Callithrix jacchus: one gene and its partner. The protein of the gene in region 1 purifies or fractionates together with the protein of each later gene. This does not show direct contact. Links are inferred from orthologs where the notes say so. Each region holds a gene or a part of one and is shown in the gene's direction. Other genes may lie near its edges. The genes, in order: CCNK and CDK12.

The links.
Region 2: the proteins of CCNK (region 1) and CDK12 purify together in Homo sapiens (affinity purification with mass spectrometry; 6 studies listed by BioGRID and IntAct, with this or other methods). This does not show direct contact. The link is inferred for Callithrix jacchus from reciprocal best matches to the Homo sapiens genes CCNK and CDK12.

What each region holds. Positions count from the first base shown.
Region 1 is NC_133509.1:134,366,345-134,370,256, forward strand, and holds the start of CCNK (cyclin-K), read left to right. Parts: upstream 1-1,649; 5' UTR 1,650-1,720; intron 1,721-3,912. Other genes in the region: SETD3 (actin-histidine N-methyltransferase), read right to left, coding at 1,503-1,582. UniProt on the Homo sapiens protein: Regulatory subunit of cyclin-dependent kinases that mediates activation of target kinases.
Region 2 is NC_133506.1:119,957,466-119,961,277, forward strand, and holds part of CDK12 (cyclin-dependent kinase 12), read left to right. Parts: intron 1-792; coding exon 793-932; intron 933-3,812. UniProt on the Homo sapiens protein: Cyclin-dependent kinase that phosphorylates the C-terminal domain (CTD) of the large subunit of RNA polymerase II (POLR2A), thereby acting as a key regulator of transcription elongation.

The sequences.
Region 1 (3,912 bases):
AAAGTATTTTTGCTTTTGAAACCTCACCTCATTTATTTAGAAAAGCAAAATAACACTGTCTGAGTGATCCCAACGCGTGAATGAATCTGCAACTTAAACACTCTCCTTCCAACACTAACCCGGCGGGGGCGAGCCCCGCAGCTAGGGGCGCGCGTCACTGTCAGCTCCTTTCCCCGAGTGGAGACAGGGGAAAGGCAGAGTTGCATCGCCGGGCTGGAGCCACGAGGAGGAAGAGTTTAACTGCGGAATGACAAACTCTAAGCACGGAATGCCTCTCCCTAGTAGGGCACTGCGCGTGTGGAACACGGCCAGCGTCGCGTGGGAAGAAAGACGACCTATTTCCTACGACCGTCTTTCTAACTGGACGGAGCGGAAGGGAGGCGGGGGCTGGTCCTCGGGCACCCCGGTGGGCATCGAGGACTCGCAGAAAGGAACATAAAACCGCACAGCCTTCCCCGGGCAGCGGGGTGACGGAAGGAAGGAAATGAGAGCGCGACCCGGCCGCACGCAGAGCCGAGCAGACCAGCGCCAGGGGCCCGGGCCCCACCCGAGAGAGGGCGCGAGGGCCGGAGACAGTGGGGCAAGCGCAGGGAGAGCGCTCCCTGCACCTGCCACCACCTCCGGACCTGGTGGCGCGGAGCCCGGGAGCGTGGGCGCCAGAAGGGACCGGCAGCAGCGAGCGCGCGCCTCCCGCCCCGCAGGGCGCCAGGGCAGAGGCCGACCGGCGCCCTCCGACCCCGCAGGGCCCTGCCTACCCCAGCTCCGGGGCTCACACCCGCCCCTTCAAGCCCCGGGCCCGGAGCGGCCGGCAGGGACCCGGGCGGGGGCGCGCGCCGGACTTCGGCAGAGGGGCGCCAGCCAGGGCGGGGGGCGGCCTCGTAACGCTCGGAGAGGCAGCGCGAGTTTCTCTCGCAGCCTCCGGGCCACATGCGCGCAGAGACCGCCGCCAGCACTCACCTGCCCGCTTCCCCTAGCGCAGCGGGAACGACGCACTCCAGCCCGGACACCACCGTCCGCCTCAACCAACCCCCAGGCGGTGGCAGTGGCTGCGGTGGCGGCGGCGACGGCGGCGGCCGGACAGGAGGGGCGGGACGGCAGCCTGAGACGGCCCTGCCGCCGCGGCCCAACCCCGCTCCGCCCGCCCTAGACCCCGCCCCCAGGCCGCCGCCGCAGCCGCTCATTGGTCCGCGCCTCGGACGCATGGGCGCGGCCCCGCCCCGCCGCCAAGCCGGCGTTCCGTTCGGGGTCCTCTCCAGCCAGTGGGCTGACGGCTCCCGGGGGCGAGAGCGGACGGCTCAGCCGCCGCCAACCCCGAGGTCGCAATTGGCTGTGTTCGCCCCCGCCCCAGCTCTGATTGGACGAAGCGCGACCCGGACCCCGCCTACGCTCCCGAGTTCCGTTAGCAGGTTCGGTTGCTCCAGAATCTTTTTCGCCCCGGGGGGCGGAACCGACGGGATGGGCCCTGTGGCTGGCTCCTCCCCCTGCACGCAGCCGCCACTGACCCGCGGGGCGGGCGAGAAAGAATAAGGCGGCCCGTTCCGCTTTCGAGAGCTCTGTTTTCTTCCCATTGGTTGACAGGCATCCTACTCTCTCCGCCTCTCCGGTCGCTTGGTTTTTGTCTCAAGACGCAGCGTGATGACGTATTCCCCGACATTCCACATGCAAAATGGCCGCGGTCGGCAAGGAGAGACGTCGCTAAGGGGCTTGCCTGAAAAGAGGGGTGAGTGACCCACCGACTGCGGGCAGCACCGCCCACCTCCCGCGTATCCAGAGGTCGGAGTAGGTTATGGCCAACCGCCGCCATCCACTGGCGGAGTCTCTCTTTTCGGATTCCGCCTCTCTCCGCTAACCTCTCGTACACATTGAACTTAGCGGGCGGCGCGGGGCTGCGGGACCGGCTTGGAGAGAGGGTCCGAGGCGCCGGGGTGGGGCAGGGAAGCAGGGCGCACCCTAGAACTGGTAGCGGCCCTCGCAGTAGGGGTCAGTCAGAGTTGGACTTTCTAGGGCTTGGGCAAAAGGGACAGGGGTGTCACCCGCGCACAATCTCATAGCTACTGAGTACTCATATTTCCCCGGTTATTTCGCGGCGTATTAGTCCCAACCTTGGGTAGGCCTGAGACTTTTTGGAGATTGTTCCATATCTAGGGTACTCGGACTTTGGAGTCTGAAGAGCCACGTAACGAGGGTGCGACTAGGAATGAGGAAAAGGCACTTCCGCGATTAGATTTCGTTCTTGTGGAGACATCGTCTTTACGGACCCGGTTCTGGTGGTTAATTTGTTTTTTTATGAGAGAAATTGTTATTTAGAAAATTGGACCGTAAGTCTAGAGGTTATCTGACAGCTCCCAAACTATTGTCTGCCAAAGATAGTCTCGGTAATGCTCCCTAAATTTAGATTGCCAGTTAAACGGAGCTTTCGCTAAGTCATCTTAGGTTAGGAACGACTTTTTCTTTTTTTTTTTTTGAGACAGAGTCTGTCTGTTGCCCAGGCTGGAGTGCAGTGGCGCGATCTTGGCTCACTAAAACATCTGCCTCTTGGGTTCAAGCGATTCTCCAGCCTCAGCCTCCCGAGTAGCTGGGATTTCAGGCGTGCGCCACCACGCGGCCAGGCTACTTTTTCTATTTTTAGTAGAGACGGGATGTCACCATATTGGCCAAGCTGGTCTCGAACTCCTGGCCTCAATTGATCCTCCTGCCTCGGCTTCCCAAAGTGCTGGGATCACAGGCGTGAGTCACGGCGCTCGGCCAGGAACGACTGGATAAGAGCATTTCTTAAGGGTAGTCTTTTATATTTTTAAAGGAAAATTGGTGACGTTTGTGTATCTCTATCTAAATCTCTCTTTTCAGATGGCTAGCACAGTGCCTTGCAATTTTAGGTGCCCATTAAAGGCTTGTATGAATGATGTTGCTAGAATGAAAGCGAGGAGCTTTCAGCGCCCAGAACACTGCCTGACGTTTATTAAGCCCTCAGTATTGCTCAGTGAAAGAACCGATGGATGAGAGTAGTGATAGTAGTACTGACAGACATTTGGATTAAAGTTGTGTCGTTAGGATGCTTACCTGTTAAATAATCTTGACGGTGAATGTAGTAATTATCCAAGATCGTTTTATTCAGAGTGACTACCACTGGTGTCTTTGAGGGTTTTTTCCCCCTTTTATCTCATTTCGATTATATTGTGATGCATGCATTATTCATGCTTATTAGTTGATTTCTGGGCAAATTCTGTTTAAATTTGTTCCATTTTGAAACTGTAGTTTGTACTAACAAGGAACAAAAACTATTCGAGTTGTTAATGAGGTTCTTAAATTTTAAATGCTGTTTTTAAAATTGCATGTCATAAAGAAAAATTGGTCATGTCTGTGGCCTATTAAATGAGCTAGTTCATTTCAGGAGATTATATTTTAAAGCAATGACTGCTGAGTGCCTAAAAGGGAGGACAGTGTCTTCTGCTTATTTTGTTTAAAACTGGGTAAGAACAAAAAATATCTAAGGGAATTAAATTCAAGGTAATTGAGATTACAGAGTGATCATATTTTTAAGCTCAAATTGTTTACCAGAGTAATTGCAGATGACATTGTAAAATCATTATTGATAGACTTTGAAAAATCCTAAAAATGCAGTTAATGTTAAAAGACTAGTGTCTGATAAATGTCTCAGTTTTCACCAAGAGCCATTAGATGTCTCTTGGATGCTAGGAACCTATTAATAATCTGTTCTAGAATCTTGTTGGAAGAGCCAACACGTGTATAAGAACTTGGGAAAGGAAAGCTGATTCCCTCAAGCCAGCAGAAAGTTTCAATAAGAAAAGGACAGGTGAGGCCAGAGTTAGTGGCTCATGCTTATTATACCAGCACTCTGGGAGGCCAGAGCTGGAGGATCACTCAAGCTCAGGAGTTCAAGATGATGCCGGG
Region 2 (3,812 bases), on another chromosome or scaffold:
TCTCTGCCTCCCGGGTTCAAGCGATTCTCCTGCCTCAGCCTCCTGAGTAATTGGGATCACAGGCGTGCACCAACATGCCCAGCTGATTTTGTATTTTCAGTAGAGAGAGGTTTCTCTACATTGGTCAGGCTGGTCTCAAACTCCTGACCTCAAGTGATCTGCCCACCTGGGCCTCCCAAAAAGTGTTGGGATTATAGGCATGAGCCACTGCGCCCTGCAATTTCCCATTTTATAATTGATGCCATACCTGAGAGAGGTCAGAAAGCAAACAGCAAATCTATTATTTCATATTATGTCTTCCTAAGGCTCCAACCCTGTGTCTTAGCTACTGTGAGAGACTGTTTTCTTTTTTTTTGAGATGGAGTCTATCGCCCAGGCTAGAGTGCAGTGGTGTGATATTGGCTCATTGCCTCCACCTCCTGGGTTGAAACGATTTTCTTGCCTCAGCCTCCTGAGTAGCTAGGATTATAGGTACACACCACCACGCTTGGCTAATTTTTGAATTTTTATTAGAGACGGGATTTCACCATGTTGGTGAGATTGGTTTCAAACTCCTGACCTCGTGATTCACCCACCTCGGCCTCCCAAAGTACTGGGATTACAGATGTGAGCCACCATGCCCGACCTGTATATATATTTTATGTTGTTTCTTTATATATTTCATATTGTTTTAATTCTGCCTTTTTAGTAAAATGTATAAAAGATACAGGAGTTAGTGAAATCATCATAAAAGAATCCTTTCTTCTTTGACTAGATTTCATTTTCTTCTTTTTTGTTGTTTTTACTTTTTAGAATTTGTTGTCCTCGTTATGGAGAAAGAAGACAAACAGAAAGTGACTGGGGGAAACGCTGTGTGGACAAGTTTGATATTATTGGGATTATCGGAGAAGGAACCTATGGTCAAGTATATAAAGCCAAGGACAAAGACACAGGTAAATATTGCCACAAAATTTTAGATGTCAGAATGTTAACAATTTAGCAATACTAATATCTTAAGTGGATTTAGCAAAAGTCAATTCTGAGGTTTTTTTGTTTTTGTTTTTGTTTTTTTGAGACGGAGTCTCGCTCTGTCATCCAGGTTGGACAACAGTGGTGTATCTCGGCTCACTGCAACCTCCACCTCCCGGGTTCAAGCAATTCTTCTGCCTCCACCTCCTGGGTAGCTGGGATTACAGGCATATGCCACCACACTTAGCTAATTATTTTATTTTTAGTAGAGATTTCACCATGTTGATCAGGCTGGTCTTGAACTCCTGACTTTGTGATCTGCCCACCTCGGCCTCCCAAAGCGCTGGGATAACAGACGTGAGCCACAGTGCCTGGCCTTTTTTCATTTTTATTTTATTTTTTAATTTTTTATTTATTTATTTATTTATTTATTTATTTATTTATTGAGACTGAGTTTCGCTCTTGTTACCCAGACTGGAGTGCAATGGCACGATCTCGGCTCACTGCAACCTTCGCCTTCTGGGTTCAAGCAATTCTCCTGCCTCAGCCTCCCGAGTAGCTGGGACTACAGGCGCACACCACCATGCCCAGCTAGTTCTTGTATTTTTAGTAGAGACGGGGTTTCACCTTGTTGACCAGGATGGTCTTGATTTCTTGACCTGGTGATCCACCCGCCTCGGCTTCCCAAAGTGCTGGGATTATAGGCGTGAGCCACCGCGCTGGCCCTCATTTTTATTTTTTTTGAGATGGAATCTCACTCTTATCCAGGCTGGAGTGCAGTGGCTCAATCTCTGCTCACTGCAGGCCTTGCCTCCTGGGTTCAAGTGATGCTCCTGCCTCAGCCTTCTGAATAGCTGGTATTACAGGCATGCACCACCACGCCCAGCTATTTTCTTTATTTGTAGTAGAGATGGGGTTTCAACATATTTGCCAGGCTGGTCTCGAACTCCAGGCTTGTCTCAGACTCCTGACCTCAAATGATCCACCTGCCTTGGCGTCCCAAAGTGCTGGGATTACAGGTGTAAGCTGCCACACCAGACCAATTTTTTCTTGAGATGGAGTTTGGCTTTTTTTTATGTTTAGACAGAGTCTTGCTCTGTCAGCCAGGCTGGAGTGCAGTGGCACAGTCTCAGCATACTACGACCTCTGTCTCCCAGGCTCTAGCAATTCTCCTGTCTCAGCCTCCCAAGTAACTGAGACAGGTGTATGCTACCACATCTTGCTAATTTTTATATTTTTCGTAGAGATTGGCTTTTACCTGTGTTGGCCAGGCTGGTTTCCAACTCCTGACCTCAGGTAATCCGCCTACCTCGGCCTCTCAAAGTGCTGTGATTATAGGTGTGAGCCACCGTGCCTGGCTGGAGTTTGGCTCTTGTTGCCCAGGCTGGAGTGCAATGGCGAGATCTTGGCTTACCGCAACCTCTGACTCCTGGGTTCAAGCAATTCTCCTGCCTCAGCCTCCCAAGTAGCTGGGATTATAGCCATGCACTAGCACACCCGGCTATTTTTTTTTATTTTTAGTAGAGACAGGGTTTCTCCATGTTGGACAGGCTGGTCTTGAATTCCTGACCTCAGGTGATCTGCCTGCCTTAGCCTCCCAAAGTGCTGGGATTAAAGGTGCAAACCACTGCACTTGGTCCCAGCCAAATTTTTAGTTTTAATTTGGTCCCCAAAAGTTATTAAGTAGATGCAAGTTTTCCAAAAGAACACCATAACTTTTTTGTTTTTTTTTGAAATGGAGTGTTGCTTTTTCGCCCAGGCTGGGGTGCAGTGGTACAATCTCAGCTCCACCTCTCCACCTCCCGGGTTCAAGCAATTCTCCTGCCTCAGCCTCCTGAGTAGCTGGGATTACAGGTGTGCACTACCATGCCTGGCTAATTTTTGTATTTGTAGTAGAGACGGGTTCACTGTGTTGGTCAGACTGGTCTTGAACTCCTGACCTTGTGATCTGCCTGCCTCAGCCTCCCAAACTCCTGGGATTACAGGCATGAGCCATTGTGCCTGGCCAAGAAGACTATAACTTTTAAAACTCTCTTGCCGGATACAGTGGCCTGTAATCCCCTCACTTTGGGAGGCCAAGGCAGGCAGATCATGAGGTCAGGAGATCGACACCATCCTGTCCTGGCTAACACGATGAAACCCCGTTTCTACAAATACAAAAAATTAGCTGGGCTGTAGTCTCAGCTACTCAGGAGGCTGAGGCAGCAGAATCACTTGGACCTGGGAGGCAGAGGTTTCAGTGAGCCGAGATTGGGCCATTGCACTCTGGCCTGGGCGACAGAGCAAGACTCTGTCTGTCTCAAAAGAAAAACACAAACTATATGGTTCATCCAAAATATTTCATAGCTTCCTGGGAATTTTAAGGGAGGGTAAAAAATAATATTTATAGATTGCGATTTGCTTTGTAAGGAGGAAATCCTCGAAGATAAAATTGAAGTATTTGAGTTACTACTATATTTTAATAACAGAAAGGCCTGCTGGGCTCGGTGGCTTACACCTATAATCCCAGCATTTTGGGAGGCTGAGGTGAGCAGATCCCCTGAGGTTGGGAGTTTGAGACAGCTGACAAATATAGAGAAACCCTGTCTCTAAAAAAATAAGTAAATAAAAATAAAAATTACTCACTCTACTAAAAATACAAAATTAGGCCCGGGTAGAGTGGCTCATGTCTGTAATCCCAGCACTTTGGGAGGCTTAGGTGGGCGGATCACCTAAGGTTGGGAGTTCGAGACCAGCCTGACGAATATGGAGAAATGCTATCTCCAAACAAACAAACAAACAAACAAACAAACAAACAAACAAACAAACAAATATATATATATATGTATATATTTGCTGGGTGTGGTAGTGCGCACGCACCTGTA